Linked DNA regions of Tamandua tetradactyla. The protein of the gene in region 1 interacts with the protein of each later gene in a biochemical or structural test. Links are inferred from orthologs where the notes say so. Each region holds a gene or a part of one and is shown on either strand. Other genes may lie near its edges.

Region 1 (10,007 bases):
CTGGTTGTCAAGATACTGAAATACCTCTGTATTGGTGATCCTGAGTGACCCCTGCCCCCAACCCAGCAAACCCCTGGCCTTCCCTAAGGTCTAACAAGTAAAGGGTTAACACTTGGCAAAGTGAGATGGATTAGGGATCTCCAGGACTCAGTTCCAGGGTGAGACCACATCCATATGCAGGCCCTACCAGTGGTTAAGTATTTCAAGTACTACTATTGATTCTCACCTCTCCAGATCTTAGGGTATACATTTTGCTCTCACCTTTTTTAGGCACCTGCTGCCAACGGTAGTCCCAGTTTTGCTGTGTGGCAGCCTGACGTGAGGCTTCCATGCCTTCCCGGTTGGAAAAGCGCCGGATGTCCCAGAGCTTGATAGTCTGGTCTTTGGAGTTGGAGATGAGATACCGGGCATCACCCTGTGAATCCAAAGTTGGGTAATGAAGCATCAGAGCTTGCAAATATTGGTGCTAATCAGTCCTCTAATTCAGGCATAAGAACTCGTCCTCTGACTTTGCTTGTTCTTTCCTCTTCCAGGTGAGCGCACCTTCAGTTTTCTGCCTTGGATCTCACCCCCTAGCTAAGTTTTCCTTCTTCACTCAACGTGGCTGGGTCTCTTCTTCTATTCTACAGTAGATGCTCTTCTATTTTTCTGGTATAGAAAGCTCTTTCCTATTCCTTGAGGACTGGTGGTACAGATGGATCTCATGTTTCCTAGCTTAAGCTCCTTCCCTAAACTCTAGCTCTTATAGACGCTGGGTAATAAAGAGCTCAGCAAGCTCCCACACCGCTTTTACGTCCTCCTGGAGAACCAGAATCTTAGTAGTTTGGTGGTGCAGTCCTGCCTGTCTTGCTTACCTTGCTGTCAATGAAGGTGATGCCATCCTGGTGTCCAGCCAGTGCACCCACGGGCTTGGGGTCATCCTCTCGCATGGTTCGTCGATCCCACACTTTGCAGATGGCATCGTCACCCCCAGAAAACAGGATTTGGGAACTTATGTCAGCAAAGGCCACAGCATTCACATCATCTTCATGGGACTCAATCTAGGAGGAGAAAGAGACCAGTATGTCTACAACCTCCTTCTAGGTCTTCTCACAGAGCAAGGACCAGGAGCCAGAGGCTCTAAGTCTGAGGAACAATACCTGAAGGGTGCGCCGGTTCTGTTCTCGGTCAAAGACATACAGACAACCATCATTGGCACTGAAAAGGAAGAGATAAAGAGGGTCCTGGAGCCAGGACCAAGAAAAGCAATGCTATGTGTACTCTGGAGAGTGTCTATTGAGAAGCCCTGCTGAGGGGCAAGCCCCTTGTCTCACCTCATACAGGAAGAGAGAGAAGAGTTAGCTGTGTCTGACTGCACAGAAGTTTGAGACCTGCCACCTGGTACTGAGGAAATGGTGACTAAGAGGTGAAGCAACTTGTCAACCTTGACCTTAAAGAAGGGCTGGGTAGGGGTGTCTAGTGCAGTCTAACAGGAGAGCTTATCTCATTAACTGAGGGAGCCATCTCCTGCAAATACTCACCCTCCTAGCACTTCTCGTCCATCTGAGGAGACAGCAATGGAGAAGACAGCAAAGCGACGCTCATCTGGCCTGAAAGGAGCGAAGAATGAACTAGGTAAATAGACTTCCCTTCAACTTTTGTTAATCTACATGGAATCACTTGAGGATTGTAAAGCACACTTGTAAGGGAAAACAGAAGTCCTGTCAACATGTGCCAGAATGCAGATCACCTCATTGAGAACCCAGAAATGATGCTGCAACCATCTATTTTACACAGGCCTTCTGGCTGACAGGATGGGCAGTTTCTTCCCAGGAATCCACAGAGAAACTTGCAACCAATGTACTTTTCCCTTAAGAACAGGTTCCCGTTCAAGAAGTTTGTTTCTGAAGAGCCCTCCTTAAGAAGTTTCTGATGAGTCGGATGAGGAAGGGAAGGCAGTACCTGAGATCCAAGGCCGTGTGTGTGTCTCCCTCCCCATAGATGTTGCAGATATGAACTAAGAGAAGCAAGAGAAACAAGAATCTTTCAGGACTGGGCGAAGACTCATGGAAGTGAAGCTAGGGAAGAGCTGCAAAAAAGAGCAAGGATATCAGAGTACCCTGGGAATGATTTTTCCAAGATGAGGCATGGAGTCCTCTCGGGAGTACGGAAAACTCAGATCCCAGGATAGAGAGACAATGAAAGTCTGGTGCATACTCACTGTAATCAGACCAGCTGGAGTATAGGAAGTGGTTCCCATCAGGGGTGAAGGCCACATCCAAGATGCTCCAGCCTACATCCCGGGCCTTGATGCTTTTGAATTTATGGAAGCGGCCATAACGGCAGTCATATAGTCGGATTGTCTGGTCTGTGCAAGTGAGAATAAGGCAGAATTACGGGAACACCCCCTTAATTCTCCTGGATCAGCCCTCTATCACTCAGTCTATCTGTGGAATCTTTCTTTTATCATAAAAAATACATTCTGATTAAGCCTCCTAAGACAGAGTCTGAGCTCTCTGGGTCTGGGGCTTTCTAGCCTCTGTCAGGAGGAATGTTTCCTATTTCAGGCAAGGGCAGCTTGTGGGGCCAGGGTCTGGTACCTTGGCAAGCAGACATGAAGATTTGACCATCCTTGCTGTAGATGCCACAGAAAGCCTTCTGAGAGTAGGTGTCAGTGAAGCCCAGATCATTGGGCAAGAAGCTGGGAAACACACGGAAAATGAGGGTGAGGGGACTTCAGGGTGAGGAGTGCCCTAGTTAACAGGATCCTAACAGGGCAGAAATACCAGCATAAAGGTATTCTTTCCTTTTGGCTTGGCATATAATCCCTTTTCTTTCACCCTATCTATTATCATCTTTATTTCTACACTTTTCCACTTTGTTTACTCTCAAAGCTGCAACCCATTTAATCTGTAACCTTAACATCTCTGAGATCTTTTAACACCTGCCCCTTCAAAGTACAGGGGATAAGACCTATCTGGCCCTTAGAGTCTCTCCACTGAGCCCCATACTCACTGAGACATCACTCGAGACTGCTCTCCAAGGGAGAAGCTTCCTTGGTGGCAGAGGCCCCGTTGTCTCTAAATGGAAGGGATTGGTGAATATTGCTAGCAGATACAGAGGGCCGCTAAAGCCACACCAAGACCCCTCCTCCAAAGACATTGCTCTTGCTAAAGAAATGGACTACACATAACCTTGACACAAGTCGGCCAAGAACTCCCCAGCATGAGCATGTGAGACTTCCTTGGAGGGTTTACCTCCCTCCTCTCGGGAGGTAGCAAGAACTTCTGGATACCCTGGCAGGCCAGGTGTCAGGCTGGTTGGGGATGAAGAAACCTACCTGGTACAGCATTCGAGGAAAGCTGTGTTCCTGGGCTGCCTGCCTAAGTCTCAGCCGCCCTGTGGCCAATTCCACTTGTGTTTTGATCTCGTTGCACTCCAGCTCCCGGGTATCAGGGGTCACATCCACTATGAGTACCAAAGATAAGTTTCACCCTAGGTCTTCTAGCTCCAGAGGGCAGTTAGCATAACTGTGTCCAAAACAGGACGAAGATGGGCCTCACCAATGTGGCTGAGTATACTGGGGGTTACAAAGATTCCCTCATTCCCTGAATTATCTCATCTTCTTTCAGTCTAACCCATGATTCTTCTCACACACATACACACAAAAGGTTTTCTAATTAAAATCTTCCAATTTTAGGGTCTCAATCTGTTTTTACTCTTACCAGGTGGGTTGTATCGGTCCCCCAGACGACCATCCCAGGCACTGTCATGCTCTTCCTCAGAGTCAGAGAGGGCCTGGATGAGCTGTAAATTTGCAGCTCCTCCTCCCTGCACCAATCTCATTTGGCCTCTGTGGAGAGAGCCCCCCCCCCCCCCACGATAAAGGCGGGAATCCCTTTCCCCAGCCCAGCCAAATTCAGAGTCAGTGCCCACTTCACTCTTAGACCATGTGAACTCAAACCCTAGTACTGTCCCCACTTTGAGGGCTGGAGACTGACTACACCTTGCCTGTTATTTTCCGTCTCCTGTAAGTCATGTAAATTGATATTTACTCTTAGAGCAGGAGTAGAGAACTAAGTGGATTTCCCATGGAGAAAAAAATTCTGACAGCATTTCCTTCTGCGCTTCAGCCTGAGAAGCCCAACATAAAACAGTATTCTGAAGGGATTCCTGGGCTTGTCTTCTCCCTAACCATAAGCCAGGAAACAAAGCCAGTCGCACCCCTTTCCAGTTAATTCTTGGTGGTCATCTCCTACAAGCCATTCTTGCCTCAAGACTAGGGTTAGAGTTAGGTCAATTTAAACTTGTTTTTCAAGTAAATCCACAGGATCTCATATCAAATGTCAATGGCTTTACTAAAGTTCCACTCCTCCCTCCCAAACACTTCTCCTCATCTCCTACTTCACTCCTTATCCCTCAGGGCCCTTTTTTTTTTACTTACTCAGAAAATAGATTAAATAGAAATACATGCATGTAGTCACAGTCAGTGAGACTCCCCTGAACTGCCCCTTCAAACACAAGAACGGGTTCCCCTAGTGACCTACCCTAGCCAAGGTAAGAACCACTCCTACTGGATATGGAGTTGAAGCCAGGGCTGGCCAGGAGGGGAAGACCCTCAGAGTAACCACCCTGGGCTAGTTACATTTCCTAACTTCTATGATTTCCCTGCCTGGAGTTGGGAGCAAGGGTCTGTGGTGGCACCTGGTGAGGACACACCAGAAGGTAAGTTACCTGCGTAGTAGATAGGCCAGTACCTGGGCCAGATCCACATCTTCATCCTCCTCTTCCTCTTCCTCACTCCTTCGCAGGCCAGCCCCTCTTTGGGGCAAGCCCTCGGAGGGGTCTCCGGACCCAGATCCTGCACTGCTGCTGTTTCTTGATCCCATCTTCTGGTCACAGCATCCTCAGGACCTCTGCTGGGGTTCTTCTTGTCACTTCCTTGGTGAAAGCAAAGCCTGCTCTAGAAATACTAGGGTCTCCAGAGAAGAGAACGCCTTCCTAGGAACTGTGATCCCTTCTCTTTAGCATGTGACAACTCCCAAGGTTTCAGGAACACAAACCTTCCCCAGTCCTGTGAAGCACAGAAAACAGAAAGTGAAGCCTAGGGCGATACCCTAGTTTACCAAAGAATCCTTCGAAGAGGAATTTCTCAGTTTTCTATCCCAAACTCACCTATCAAAGTCCCTGTGGGGGGGGGCGGATTCCCAGGTAACCTGTCTGGCTGACCAATTAAAAGGCTCGCGGAAGAAAGCGCCTCACTAGCTTATCTCACCTAACCAATCAGAAGCCTGAAGAGTCAGAGACCCCCGACGCCCCCCTTACCGACCAATAAGGGCACTCTCTTGCGCAGGCCGGCAGCATCGACAGCCAATGAAGTTAGAACTCGACCCCCTCCTCCCCTGCCTCACGCCCACGTGGTGTGCCGGGGGTGTGTTCGCCAAGGAGAGAGGCAGGGAGGAAGTCGCCAAGCACCTCCTACTGAAGTCGGCGGTTACTACCCCGCGCGAAACCACCCTCTAGCCAGGAGCAGTAGCGGGACCTACAGCTGCGCTAGGCCTTGTTTACAACGACTGCAGCCGCAGCGTCTGCCAACCGCTCCTCCGTCATGCGCCTCGTCCGTCACGCATCTGCCGGCTTCCCTGCCGAGCGCCGACGTCACGCGACGCCCGCGGCGGCTCCGCCCCCTGGGCTTGCTGACTGGGTAGCGGAGCACAGTGATTGACAGGTGGGCGGGAGAAAGTGCCTATGGGGGTCTGAGCGGGTCTGAGGCAGGGAGAAAACACGAATGGAGAAGGGGCGTTCGCTCTCCTAGGGAGCAGGGAGTAAATTCCGGAATCTGCTGCTTTCTAGCTCCCAGACCACGGAACTTGATTTGATGGCAGAGAGGAAGCCGCGCAAAAGAAACGGATAGCGGTTCGTCTTAGCAAGGGTTACCATTTTCTGTGTGTCCCTAAATTCTTTTGGCTTCACACTTTTCAGACAGTGCCGAAATCTCCGCTTGATCAGTTCTCTTTTCGCTTCACTGGGCCCTGCCCTAAGTATGAAGTGCATTTTCTTTCGCCTGGGATGTCTTCATGTTACAGTTGGGGATTCCAATCCTCCACACCCACCTGGCTTTAGCTTCCGGAAGCCTCGTTCTTGTAGGATCGGCAACTTTTTAGATGATCCCTAGCTGGGCTCCGCGAACTTTACACACACTCCCTGACGCAACTGTCGCCTGTGCTACCCCACCCCACTCCTCCCCACACCCCGTTCCCTTGGTCCTCCGGGATTTGCACTTTCGCGAGACCCTCTGTCCTCGCGGTGCTCCCCTCACTGGGCTGCGGGCCCTGCGTGCGCACACACGCCACCTGCCACTCCGTTCTCCGAGTTTATGAGTAACAGCACTGAGTCCAAGGCCGGGACTCGCCACGTCTCGGGATCTTTGCCCAGGCTGTGGAGGAGTGGGGGTGTGTGTGTGTGTGTGTTTGGGACTAATGACCACGCAGAGGTCCCTGGTCTGAAAAGTGTGTGTGTGTGTGTGTGTGTGTGTGTGTGTGTGTGTGTTTGGGACTAATGACCGTGCAAAGGTGTGTGTGTGTGTTTGGGACTAATGACCACGCAGAGGTCCCAGGTCTGAAATGTTTGTGTGTGTGTGTGTTTGGGACTAATGACCACGCAAAGGTCCCAGGTCCGAAATGAACGCGCCGGCACGCTCTTAGAAGTGCTGCGAAACTTCCCCCTCAGCCCAGAGCCTCTGAAGGCAGGTCGGGGAGCGACGGCGCCCAGTTCTTCCCTGGAGCCCTGAGGCTCACTCTCCCTGAGAAGCGAAGGCGAGGTGTGCTCGCACCTTCGGGTGATCCCGCCTGGCCCTTAAACCAGCTACCCTGGAGCGCATCACGTCTGCTCACTGCGCGGGGCTGCCTGGGCGAGTCAGCTGTGGCGTCTCTTAGAAGAGCCCCCCCGCCTGGTTTAATGTTTTGCTGTCGTGGCCTTGAAACTTAATTTTAAACAAGAAGTCCAGGTTTTAATTTTGCTCTGGGTCCCACAAATTATGAAGCTGGTCATCCATCTCCTATTATCTATTACTATCTGTGCCCTATAACGTCTATTGAGACCTTAGGATTCCATGACTTCTGGGTTACCCCGCCTGAAAAAAATCTGGAATCATTTTTTTAGAAGTATCTTTCTCTACTTTTTGTCCTTTAAATTCAGTTCTTCGAGTCCTGCAGATTCTTTAGCTGATGAGTAGAAGCTGTTTTCCAATGGCTACCACCCAAGATCCAATTTTCATTTCTTCATGCCTCTCCCCAGCTAGTTGATCTGCTACACGTATCCTCCTCTAACAGCATTTAGTTTCTGCCCTACAATAGAAGACAAGAGTTTCTCTTTATTCTACCCAGAGCTGTACATGTGTCCCAAGAGCTCTGGGAAGTCACCACTCTGGGGACTGAGGTAGGGGAAGGTGGAAGAAGAGGGAGGGGGCAGTTAGCCAGAGAATGGAAGTCGTACTTCTCTCCTCTCCAGTCCAGCTCGCCCTCTAGTGGAGTTAGAGGGCAAGAAGGAGCAGGAAAGAGCCCGGGGCAGGGCAAACAGGAAGTTAATCTGCTGACATTTACTTAGCAATTAACCAAACTGGCCCTAAAATGGGTGCTGAAGGTAGAAAATCTCTCTTTGGCTTTAAGTATAGCTGGGAAGAGTAGAGGCTGCCCAAATGAAAAGCACTTTGTAAAGTGTCACCAAATAAATGCCAAATTTCAAAATCATGAGAGGGAAAGCCAATAGAGCTTATCAAAATAACTTAATTATAATTATTTTTAAAGAATGCCATTTTATTTCTTTCAGTAGAATTCATAGTAGACCCTAAGATATAAATGTTCATATACACTGTGAAAAATTAATATTAGCGGTTACAAAAGGCTTAAAAATCTTCTACATATAAAAAATAATCAATGGATCCAGAGGTGAAAACCTACATTCTTTATCATTTGAGTTGATGTTAAAGGGGACTCATTTTGGTCATAAAACCCCAGAAACTTATTTTGACATTACCATGATTTTCAAATGTTCACTTTTGTTAATCATTTCAAATACAAATACCAAACCTGGCTGTTGTTGTTTTTTTAATTTTTATTGATAAAACAACGTACAAGGACATACAAACATTCCATACATGGTGTACAATCAGTGGCTCACAATGTCATCACATAGTTGTCTGTTCATCACCATGATCATTTTTTAGAACATTTGCATCACTCCGGAAAAAGAAATAAAAAGAAAAAAAGAAAAAACTCATACATACCATACCCCTAGCCCTCCGTCTCATTGACCACTAGTATTTCCATCTACCCAATATATATATTTTTAATTTTAACATTTGTTCCCCCTATTATTTATTTATTTTTAATCCATATGTTTTACTTGTCTGTCCATACTGTAGATAAAAGGAGCATCAGACACAAGGATCTGATTGTTTTTTACCACCAATTTTTGTTACTCCTGCCAAACAAACATGCCCATAAATGCCTTGCAAGTTTCCACTTCTGCACCTTCCCAGGAAAGCTTCTTATCTGATATACTCCTGTTTCTACCAGTTAGATTCCCTTCCACACAGCCTTGCACTTTGACCCACTGGTACCACTTCCGGGAATCTAGTCCAGACCTGTCTAAAAATTTATGTTCAGCCTAGCAATTATTTTTAATAGTGAAATACTGGAAACAAAGAAGATTAAAATATCCTGTAATATGGGATTGGGTAAATAAATCATGGTCCATATACACTGTAATAACACGTAGCCTTTGAAATGATGTTGTAGTCTTCTATTTTTATACCATGGGATATTGTGCAAGCTGCTGGTTAAGTTGAAAAAAAAAAAAAGATGGTGGTCGTTTGGTGACACCTGGTGGATGCAAAAACAATCTGGTTTCAATTTTGCATTAAAAATTAAATCAATGGCAAATTGTTTCATGAACAAAAGATTTTGATTACTACAATTTGCACACCTGGGATCTAAGGGAAAAAAAATTTGTCTGTTAAACTCACTTCCTTAATAATGCATTTTTTATTACTTTTTTTCTTCTCCTTAGCACTTAATAAAATAATAAAGCCTTGTTAATTCAAGCCTTTGTAATGTGGAACTTATATATTATTGAATACATTTGAAAATCATGGTAATGTCAAAATAAGTTTCTGGGGTTTTATGACCAAAATGAGTCCCCTTTAACATCAACTCAAATGATAAAGAATGTAGGTTTTCACCTCTGGATCCATTGATTATTTTTTATATGTAGAAGATTTTTAAGCCTTTTGTAACCGCTAATATTTTTTCACAATGTATATGAACATTTGTATCTTAGGGTCTACTATGAATTCTATTGAAAGAAATAAAATGGCATTCTTTAAAAATAATTATAATTAAGTTATTTTGATAAGCTCTATTGGCTTTCCCTCTCATGATTTTGAAATTTGGCATTTATTTGGTGACACTTTACAAAGTGCTTTTCATTTGGGCAGCCTCTACTCTTCCCAGCTATACTTAAAGCCACAGAGAGATTTTCTACCTTCAGCACTCATTTTAGGGCCAGTTTGGTAATTGCTAAGTAAATGTCAGCAGATTAACTTCCTGTTTGCCCTGCCCTGGGCTCTTTCCTGCTCCTTCTTGCCCTCTAACTCCACTAGAGGGTGAGCTGGACTGGAGAGGAGAGAAGTACGACTTCCATTCTCTGGCTAACTGCCCCCTCCCTCTTCTTCCACCTTCCCCTACCTCAGTCCCCAGAGTGGTGACTTCCCAGAGCTCTTGGGACACATGTACAGCTCTGGGTAGAATAAAGAGAAACTTCTGTCTTCTGAAGTGACCAGTTCTTATACATATGTTTACATGGTCTCCTTGCTTCTCTGTGTAAAAGGAAAGGGGGAAGTGTGCTAACTATAAAGCAATTGTGTATTTATGGGATATTTGAATATTCTCATGGCCTGTGTCCTTGAGAACCAGAATTTTCAAGTGGAGGATAGGAGCTACAGATAGAAAACAAAAGAGGTTGAAAAT
Region 2 (10,007 bases), on another chromosome or scaffold:
GGAGCAGAGACCCCACAGGACGCCCCATGGGTGGTCACCAGATGAGGGCAGTGAAGGTGTTGTCAGGTGCTGCCCAGCAGATGGGGCAGCTGGAGGTTACTCTCTCTACAGGAGAAAGTTAGTTTCATAAAGATAAATCAATTGTAGCCAAATGTTGCAGTATTTAATTAAATACAAGTCTGAAATTACATGCATTTCCAGACCTAAATCCTTTGTTTAAATTCAAGTTTTCATAACCCTCTGGGAAGGCCCAGGTGGCATCTGAGAAGCCGCTGTCGTGTGGCTTGTCTTGTTCAGGAAGAGGAACAGGCACCGTTTGCGAGGACACACCAGGGCCTGGGGTGCTCAGGTGAGAGGTGGCTGCCGGCCTTGGCAGGTCGCCTCCTGTGCCCACCAGGGGAACCCAGCACTGCCCATTCAGAGGCTCCTGACCCCCCGACTGGTGCCGTCCTGGGCCTGTAGGGGACCCCCCAGAACGTTTGCTGCTGTTTCCCCTATGCTGTTCCTTCATCTGCAGAAGCACACACAGCCCGGTTGGGGGACTTGAGGTCTCTGTGTTCTTGCTTTCGGAGCTCTCTCACCCTCATTCCTTGGCTCAGCTGAAGTAAAAGTATTGCTTTAGCTAGCTGCACGGTCTGAGGGAGGACATGGGTCGACAGTCGCCAGGTCCCTGCAGTGCTGGGGGTTGTGGCAGCATGGGCAGGGCTGGGGGCGCCGGCCCCTCCTGGGTGGGGGGGGGAGGGGAAGGGACTCCTGAGGCCAGACTTCCTGGGCTGGGCCAAGGCCTTGCACCATTGCCTGCATCCTTGGCCACCCCTCATCCTGAACCGTGCTTTGGGGAGCTTTGGGGCTTTGCCCCCAAGTGCAGCTGCACCCTGCCTGGGGTGCTGCCTGGCGAGGGACCACCGTTCCCACTGTTTTGGAAGCAGGACAGGATGAGGGGCAGGTGGGGAACACGCAGATACCGCAGCCGAGTGGGGCTCTGGTGGCTCTACGGACCAGTGATTCTGCCAGACACTGCAGCCCGCCCAGGCCCCAGGGAGCAGAGTGGGAATGGGTTCTTCCAGCCCCTACTAACTGTTGACCAGGCAGGCTAGTGCAGTGTAGAAAAGGTGGGTGTTCTAGTTTGCTAGCTGCTGGAATGCAACACACCAGAGACGGATTGGCTTTTAATAAAAGGGGATTTATTTTGTTGATTCTTCAGAGGAAAGGCAGCTAACTTTCCACTGAGGTTCTTTCTTACATGGAAGGCACAGGATGGTCTCTGCTGGTTTTCTCTCCAGGCCCCTGGGTTCCAACAACTTTCCCAGGGGTGACTTCTTTCTGCATCTCCAAAGGCCTGGGCTGAGCTGCGAGTGCTGAGATGAGGAATGCCGAGCTGCTTAGGCTGTGCTACATTGCGTTCTCTCATTTAAGCACCAGCCAATTAAGTCAAACTTCACTCATTGCAGCAGACACGCCTCCTAGCAACTGCAGATGTAATTAGCAACAGATGAGGTCCCCGTACCATTGGCTTGTGTCTGCAGCAACAGAACTAGGTATGCTCACTTGGCCAAGTTGACAACTGAATCTAACTAACACAGTGGGCATAAAGGGTGTCCAGCAGGTGGTAAGGGCCACCAGAGCGGCTGAGAAGATAGCACATTGTCATCTAGCCCTGCCTAACAAACCACCCCAGATGATGGTTTCAAACAACAAACACATCTCAGTTCCTGGGTGTCAGATATTCAGAGTATGTTGGATGGCCCTGGCTTGGGGTCTCCCCAACACCCCACAGGGACATTGGCCTGGGCTGCAGTCTCTGAAGGCGTGACTCGGGAGAACCTGCTTCCGAGACAGACTGCTTGCAATGGCTGATGAGTTGATGTGGTCCTTGGTGGGAGGTCTCCATCCCTGGCCATGGGGCTGTTTGAGCTCCTCCCAGCATGGCAGCTGGCTGCCCCTGGAGCAAGTGATCCAGGGGAAGACAAGGAAAAACCCAGTGTCTTCGGTGACCGAGCTCCCCTTCTGCCACATCCTATTGGCTACACACAAGCCCGTGCAGTGGGAAGGGACTCCCTTACAGGGGGGCCGTCTTGGAAGCCAGTTACCACATTTGGGAGGTGAGGGCCACCTTTGGAAGGGTTGTTGGGATAGATTCACAGGAGGGGAACGGTGAGCTGAATTCTGAAAGACGGGCAGGGGCAGTTTTCTAGTGAGAGAAGATGGAGTGCAAAGGCCCTGAGGCAGGAAGGTGTGTGTGCAAGCTTTCCAGGCCAGAAGGTGGGTGGGGAGGGCAGCATGGTCCCAGCAAAGCTGGGGAAGCAGGCAGGGAGGCCCACGGGCTGGGGGACACAGTGGGGTGTGTCAGGGGGATGCCAGGGAGGGCTTCAAGCAGAGGTGGGCATGCTCTGCCACTGCCTTGGGCGATTCAAGGTTACTGAGATGAGCAAAGGTGGTGAGTGACAAAGAAGGGTTGGACACAGAGCCGGCCCTGCCCGGCTCTGGGGAGCGCGTGGGAAGAGGACACCTGTGACTGGGGCCCAGCGGGGGGATCCGGGGAACTTTGAGAAGATGGTCCTGGAGGGTGCGGGCGCAGGAGGGGCAGAGGCCCTCCTCACCACAGTCCATCCTCCTGCCTCTCGGGCCTCTCAGGGCGACCCAGACCTTAGGCCTGAGTCAAAGCCACGGCTTTGGGGAGGACGCGCGAGGCTGCGCCCCCGGCACCCTTCTCCGCCCCACGGGCTCCCGCCCAGCCTCCGTGGGCCCCTCACACGCGAGGGCCGGAGCGGCGGTCTCGGGCGGCCCCGGCCCAACTTCGTCTCCCCGACTGGCGGAAACAGGCCAGTTTGGTCCGCGCTAACCCGGGCAAAAGGTCCGCGCCTTCCGGGTTCCCGTTCCCGCCAGTTCGGGGCACGACCCCGGGGCCCGGCCAATCGCAGGCGCGCCCTACCCGAGCCGCGGCCAATCCGGGACGCCCGGCCCGCCCTCTCCGGGCGCCCGCGCCGCGCGCGTCCGAATCTCCCGCCAACACTCCCGCCCCCCCCGCGAGGGCGCGGCCAATCGGTGCGCGAGGGGCCCGCGGCGGTCCGGCCGCTTCCACGCCGGGGGGTGGCGGCCTGGCCCTCGGGCCGGTCCTCAGACAGCGGGGCAGCGCCAGCCCGTCTGCGCGCGCGCAGCCTTCGGGGCCGTGGTCTCGGCGCTCCCGGCTGTCCTGGGAGCCCAGCCCCGGCGGAGCAGCTTTCGCGGCGCGTGCGTCCAGGCCGGCGTCCCCCGCCGTCTGCACCCGATGGTCGCGGCCGACGCCGGCGCGCGCGGGAGCCCCGAGGGGCGGGGCCCGGCGGCCGCCTAAAAGCGGTTGAGGGCGGGCCGTGCGCGCAGTTCCTGTCAGCGCCGGCGCCGCGGCGTCTTCTCCCGCCTCCGGCCGCAGCTCGCGCACTCCCGCCGCCCGCCCCGCCATGGCCTGCCGGCCGCGAAGCCTTCCCCGGTGCCGCGACGCCAGGTGAGACCGGCCCGGGAGCGGGGGCCGCCCTCGGACGCGGAGGTCGCGGGGCTGTGGAGGTTCCGGGGGGGGCGGTCGCCGCGCGGAGTCCCGGGAGGGGTCCCGTGGGGGCGCGGGGGCCCCGGCGGCCCGGCCTGGCTGACAGCGACGCCCTGGCCGCAGCCCGCGCTCCCCAGCTAGGTGGTCCCTGGGCCGGAAGCGCAGAGCCGACGGGAAGCGCAGGAAGCCCGAGGACAACGACCCCCGCGCGCCCGGCGAGGACCCGAGCCCCGCGCGCTGGGACGGAGGCGCGCCCCGGAGGGCGGACTACCGGCTGGAGAGGTGAGAGCCGCCCCGGCCCCTGGCCGCAGGGTCCCCGCGGAACAGGCTCGGGCGGGTCTCAGGCCGCTCGCGGGCCCTGTGTGCGTCCCTTCGGAGGGGCTGCAGCCCGAAAGGAGGGCGGGCGGCCCGCGCGCGCCCGGAGGGCGTCCAGGTGAGTCGCTCCGACGTGGCTCCCGAGAGCCCTGCGGGCCGCGACGCTGGTGGGTCTCGGCGGCGTGCAGCGGGGCCCCGGAGGGGAGCAGCGGGAGGTGGCGGCCCTGCCGCGACGGTCCCCATGCTGGCTGGGACTGGCTGCAGGAGGACACAGTTGGGGTGCGAGGGGGTCCAGGCCCTTGGCCCAGTCGAGCAGGGCTGGTGGTGAGAAATGGGTGGTCTCAGAGGAGGGGCGCTTGCAGGCAGACCCAGCAGCATTTGCCGATGGGATGGGAGTGGGGTCTGATGGGCAGCTGTGGAGCTAGTGGAGCCGTTTGCCAGGTGGAGAGCCGAGTTGAGCAGCCTGGCCTGGAGGGGCTGCCTGGAGGAGGCGTCTTGCTGGGATCTTCTTCAGGATTGAGGCCCCATGGGCTTGGCCAGGCGCTGGGGGTAGGAGAGGCCTGTCTGAGCCGTGGGGTCCGAGGCGATGAGCAGGTAAGGAGGCCTGTGGAGACACATCCCAACCGAGCTCTGGACCCTCCAGCGCTCTGGGTCTCCTGTGTGGCTGAAGATAAGCCTCCAGGTCTCACACTGGCGGAGGTATCTGGCGTCCCTGCTAGGCGGACTGCTTCGGTCTTCCTCTGTGGCAGAGTGCCCCATCCTGGGGCCGTGGCACTTGGTGTCTGTTGTGTGCCTGAGACTCTCCTCCTGGGTGGCGGTGCCCATCCCTGAGCTGCCCTCCACGAAGAGCTGCCCCGCAGCTCCTGATCCCCTCTTCTGTGGAGTGGGTGCTGCCACCCGAAGCCTCTCTGCACGCCCCTTGTGGTCTCATTAGAGCTCACACTTCCTGGTGGTGAGCAGGGGCTTTATTCTCACAAGCACAAGCCTGTGGACACGCGAGTGCCCCCAGGTGAGGCCTGTGCGAGGCGGGGTGGCGGCAGCAGGGAGTTTGGGTTGAGCAGACTGACTCGTTACCTTGAAAAGAGGATGTGATCTGGGAGCGGGCGAGGAGGGGCCTTCCTGCCCCACAGCCAGGCCCAGGGCCTCCTTGGGGTGCCCCTAGAAGGGAAAGAGGGGTGCCCGGGTGGAAGGGAGAGCCCGGAAGGGCTGGCCTGCTGCTCTCCTGAGTGGCAGGTTCGTCAGGGTGCCCTCGTCCCGAGGTGGGGAGGCTGGGGTGTGACCGTCTGATCTGAGAGTGGACTAGAGCTCCGTGAATGCGTTCTCTTCCACGCTGCCTGGACCTGAGGTGGAGTGAGTTCATCTCCACGGGTTCCTAAAGGATGGATTTGAGGGTGGATTTCCACAGTGGGATCCCGGCCCCAGTACCTGTTGGGACATTGGGCCTCACTGGGCCCTAGCTTGGTCCTCCTCTGTAATTACTGAGTCAGTTGACTTCCCAGTAATGAGCTAATTTGACTTCAGGCTTTTGCAACCATTTTAAGGGTTTGGAAATTTGCCTCTTTTAGAAAATACTGCTGTGTTTCTCTAAAGGAAGACGTGACAGCATGAAGGAATCCTTCATTTGTTATTTCGATTGCACTTCAAAGCGCTCTGTTTGGGGTTTGTAGGTGGAATATGGGGTTTGCGTGCAGCTGGAGTTGGTGCCTAGTTTTGATATGTTGGTGGGAGCTGATAGAAAAGTAGGGAAGGAAAACTGAAAGGTGAGTTTAGATCAAATGTAAACAGCAGACACCAGCAATTCCAACTGCCCAATTTCTTGGTATCAAAGCTTGAGTTTTAAGATGGCCTCATCTTGACCTAAGATTTGCTTGAACTTGAGGTAGAGCAGAGGTGCTGGGTTAGGCTTACTCACCCCCAAGTGGTGCCTTCCCCAGTTGGTGCCATTCCTCCTGCGTCCACTTGTGTACTCACTCCTGCCTGTGTGTGGCATGTCCTCAGTTGCGACCGACATGCACTGAGGAGGTAAATCGACTGAAAACCTTTTCACGAGTCCCAGGGAAACAGGTCCTCATGTGTGTGGGCCGCTCTTCCTGGCACGGTAGACACCCTGTTGCCCCTGCCTGCACCCCCCCCCAGTCACCCGGTCACGTAGCCACCACTGGCACACAGCAGGCACGTGGTAAAAGCTTTACGAAACCCAGAGGTACGCTGAGCAAATTGCCCAAGCTCGGTGCCCTTTGAGTGACTGTGCAGAACAGCGCCTGCTACTGCCTGCGTTGAGTCTCACGGGACACAGGGCAGCAGTCCTGGTTCGAATGTGCATCTTCATTTTGCTTTGCAGCTTTACCACTCCTGAGGGCCCTAAGCCCCGATCCAGGTGCTCAGACTGGGGCAGTGCAGTCGAAGAAGATGAGATGAGGACCAGGGTTAATAAAGAGATTGCAAGGTAACGGGCCCGGACGCCTAAGAGCGTTATCGCTGGTTGTCGGTTGTATGTTGTATGTGCAGTGTGTCCTGTTGCTGTGCATCTCAGGTGTGACCCCGGCTGGCAGCGTCAGCCCCTGCTCAGGATTTGTGAGAAGTGGGAAATTCTGGGGTGGGGTCCAGTACTCTTTTAAAAAGCTGGAAGCTAGTGCTTTTTTTCCTTGCAAAATGGCTAAGTAAGTTGTGGTTTGTCAATCCCTTTAGTTTTGTAATGGAATGTTGTGCTGCAAAGAGAACGAGCACGTGGCAGTCACGCGCAGTGTGCCGGGGGCTCCTCAGGTGCGGCATTGGACTTGAGAGTCCCGCGTGTGTTCATGGTCCACCCCGGGAGAGCTGGCCCTGGTGCAAGGTCCCTAGGGCGCCCGGGGCCAGGTGAGGGGCAGGGTGAGCAGATCGCCTCCAGGTTTGTGTGGTTGTGCCGTTGCCTGCCCCAGCCCACCCTGACTGGAGCTCAGGGAGTTTTGCCTCCTTTTCCTGGTGTTTGCACAAAGCTGGAGTGACACTGGAGCATAGCAGGTGGCATGTGGTTACTGCACAGATCACCCCTGGGCCTTGGGGTTGCTCCTTCTTCCCTTCCGGTTCCAGTCGCCTCCCGGCCTGGGGAGGATTGGTGCTGCCCTTGACGTTCCCGGGGGTCCGTGCCGCCCTGGCTCTTGTGGCCGCCTGCTGGCCTGGCTGTCCGCCCCCTCTTGGGCGTGGGGTGTTTCTAGTTTCTGACTTAATTTGCAGCGCTGTGAGTGTGTTCCAACTGATCCTTCCCCCATTTTCCAAAGCAGATTTCATAAGCCAAGGGGTAAGAACCGTTTTGTGCTTTTAGTAGAGATTGGTCCAGTCGATGGTGCCACAAGCAGGGCCTGGGTTCACCCTCAGGCTCCACGGGCTCTCACAGGCGGGCATGGCTCCTTGAGAAGCTCTGGCCTGCCCAGCTGCCCAGGGGGCCTGGATCCGGCCACATTGGCTTCCTGGAGGGCAGTTAAAGACAAACTTGCATTGTCGGCCTTTGCTTTGGAAGGGACAGCGAGGTCAGTTGGGGTTCGGCCCCGGCTGTCTGCCACGTGGCAGACAGGTGCACACGTGGGCCGCAGTGCCGGGGAGTGAGTCTGTTGAGCAGGCACATCTGCTCGGCCTCCCCCTCCCCCGCATATCTTGGGTGTGGAGGAGCTTGGGGTGAAGCTCTGGGAGCTTGGAGCACAGATTTCATCTCTCCCAGGAGGTCTCCTGTCCATCACTGCTCTGAGTCTGGGAGCCCTTGAGGCCAGCTTGCCTATCTGCCTGGGTGTCCTGTCGTGGGCTGCACATGACTGTCTCTGGGGGCCTCTGGGCTGGGTGAACCATGGGAAGGGGCTGTCTGAGGGTCTGCTGACCCGGTTCCCCAGCCGCTGCCCGGGAAGCCAGGATGCCCAGCCCTGCCCCCAGGAAGCCCTGTCTCTGGCCTGGCACTCTGCTTTACTCCCTGGCCTGTGGCTCTGGTTCTTGCTCCGACTGTCCTGGGGCAAGGCTGTCCCGTCCTGCGCAGCCCCTCCTCCTGCCACCTGCTGCCTGGGGCCGGGGCGCCCGGAAGCCAGTGCCGACAGGCTGCGCACGGTGAAGGGTTCTTTTCTTTCTTTCTTTCTAGGTCTATTTTTAAGAGCAGCTGTTGGTTTATAGAAAAATCACGCACGAAGTCCAGCTCCCATGTGCTGCCCCCACAGCTTTCTCTCTCAACACCCTGCGTTTGTGTCTCTCTAGTTTAGCCACCACTAGGGTTGTATGCTAGTTGTCCTTTACGGTTCACTCTGTTCTACGGCCCTGTAGTTTGTTTGTCACACACACACTCTTTCAAGTACACTCTTTCAGTGGTGTTCATCTCATTTGCAGTGTCATGCGCCGTTGCATGGGACGGCTCATAACTTGGGGTGGGGGGCCCCTCGTGGCTGTGTGCAAGGGTGTGTTGCACAGCCAGGCTTGGCGCTCAGGGCCCCTCCTCTCCCTGGCTCAGCACTGTCCCTGACTTTGGGTTACGTTGCTGCAAATGAGTTCGGTCCTCTGCCCCGTACCCCAGCTGAATGAACTTTGAGTTAAGCTGTGATAACGAGTTGGGATGTACTGAACCGAGAGGGTTAGCCTAAGTGTTCATAGGCCACCTGGGGTCTCTGCTGGCTCTTCGTCCTGACGAGAGCTGCCTCAGCACTTGTGGACGGGGGCATGCTGCCTCCTGGAAGGACACACTGGGGCGGTCCTGGGATGCTGAGCAGGTCCGCCCTTCACTTCTAGCGGTGGCGTGCCCGAGGTGGGTGGCAGGCCCTGGAGGGAACCCAGCAGTCCACAGGTGCAAGAGCATCTGTTGAGCCTGTTGGGAAGGCGTCGTCTTTCTTTATGCAGGACTCTGTTTTCTCACCTGGACGATCGGAAGCTTTGACTTGCCCTGGGCAGGCTCTGTGATCCACTTGTGTCCAAGCTGCCCAGGGCCCCTCGCCTGGCCCCCGCGGGGCTGTACAGCCCCCTGAGGCTCCTGTGTGCCTCGCCATCTCATGGCGTGTGACATCCAGGGCACCCATCCCCGTGGGAAGCTGCTGCTGCTGCCCTGGGTGACGTGGCTGGTGGCTTTGTCAGGCAGCCTTGCCTTGCTGACCCCAAGGAAGAGGCCACAGGACAGCCATGCACATGAGGAGCCCACCAGGCTCCGCAGGCCCCTGGGATGGAGTTAGCCGATGGGGACGGTTGAGGAAACCCTCAGTTACCAGCAAGGGGCCATGGCCAGGGCCATTCTTGGGGTGCAGGGGGCAGGGTAGTCCTGCGTGCCCTGCGTCCACAATGTGCTGGGCACTGTTGCAAGCTCGGGGTGCCGTGGGGGCTTGAGGGTGGCGGGGAATGCCCATCCTGGCTGCGATGAGGGCTCCCCTGCATGCCTGCAGGCTGGGAGTGTGGGCCCTGCAGCAGATGCGACCCACCACGAAGGGACGTGGCTACTTGAGCTTTATTTTTTCAAAGGCTACTAAAAACGTGGGGTGTGTGTCAATACGTTTTTTTTTTTTTTTACATGGGCAGGCACTGGGAATCGAACCCGGGTCCTCGGGCATGGCAGGCAAGCACTCTTACCTGCTGAGCCACTGTGGCCCGCCCATCAATACGTTTTTATGTTTAGATCTCACTGCTTAATAAACTGCCCGGCGTCCCTTTTGGCCTGGGAACCCCCCTGCCTTACATTGAAAGGCCTGCGGCACCGGGCAGAGTTTTCTCCAAACCTGGCTGCTTTAAGCACCGACTTGCCCTGGCCTGGGGGAGCTAAGTGAGGCGGGCAGTGAAATCAACCACACCTTCCCCTCCAAGTCCTTGCTGGGGGTGGCGAGAGCACCGGGCTCTGGGTTTCTTTTTCTGCCTTGTTAAAAGCAGGAACATTTATTGTATTCTCAGATATAAAAGGAAACTTCACATAAATGACTTTGGAAGAGAGAGAACGTCGTCCTCAGGAAGGTAAGTGTGTGTGTCTATCACTGCTCTATTTGCACGGACCTGTGGCGTGTTAACGAGAGGAACGTGAGCCTGAGAAACGCAGCTGGACTCGGCCGCAGTTTGTTGCGTCCTGGGCTTTATGTCTGGAGACTCTGGGCTGCTCTGGGACCTAGGGGATGGGTCCTTTGCTCCCTCTCGTGTCGCAGGACCTCTTGGCTCCGCCTGCGCGTGGTCTCCGCTGCAGGGCTGTGTCCAT

What was found.
Region 2: the proteins of DCAF11 (region 1) and SLBP form a complex in vitro, tested with the Homo sapiens proteins (2 studies listed by BioGRID, with this or other methods). The link is inferred for Tamandua tetradactyla from reciprocal best matches to the Homo sapiens genes DCAF11 and SLBP.

What each region holds. Positions count from the first base shown.
Region 1 is NC_135340.1:30,670,068-30,680,074, forward strand, and holds the start of DCAF11 (DDB1- and CUL4-associated factor 11), read right to left. Parts: upstream 5,656-10,007; 5' UTR 5,526-5,655; exon of another isoform or gene 5,455-5,525; intron 5,437-5,454; exon of another isoform or gene 5,305-5,436; intron 5,283-5,304; exon of another isoform or gene 5,155-5,282; intron 5,084-5,154; exon of another isoform or gene 5,054-5,083; 5' UTR 4,869-5,053; coding exon 4,714-4,868; intron 3,833-4,713; coding exon 3,705-3,832; intron 3,448-3,704; coding exon 3,320-3,447; intron 3,060-3,319; coding exon 2,995-3,059; intron 2,681-2,994; coding exon 2,580-2,680; intron 2,348-2,579; coding exon 2,201-2,347; intron 1,997-2,200; coding exon 1,942-1,996; intron 1,590-1,941; coding exon 1,521-1,589; intron 1,198-1,520; coding exon 1,140-1,197; intron 1,041-1,139; coding exon 855-1,040; intron 416-854; coding exon 262-415; intron 1-261. UniProt on the Homo sapiens protein: May function as a substrate receptor for CUL4-DDB1 E3 ubiquitin-protein ligase complex.
Region 2 is NC_135345.1:1,392,799-1,402,805, reverse strand, and holds the start of SLBP (histone RNA hairpin-binding protein), read left to right. Parts: upstream 1-3,384; 5' UTR 3,385-3,437; coding exon 3,438-3,481; intron 3,482-3,643; coding exon 3,644-3,802; intron 3,803-6,176; coding exon 6,177-6,281; intron 6,282-9,712; coding exon 9,713-9,772; intron 9,773-10,007. UniProt on the Homo sapiens protein: RNA-binding protein involved in the histone pre-mRNA processing.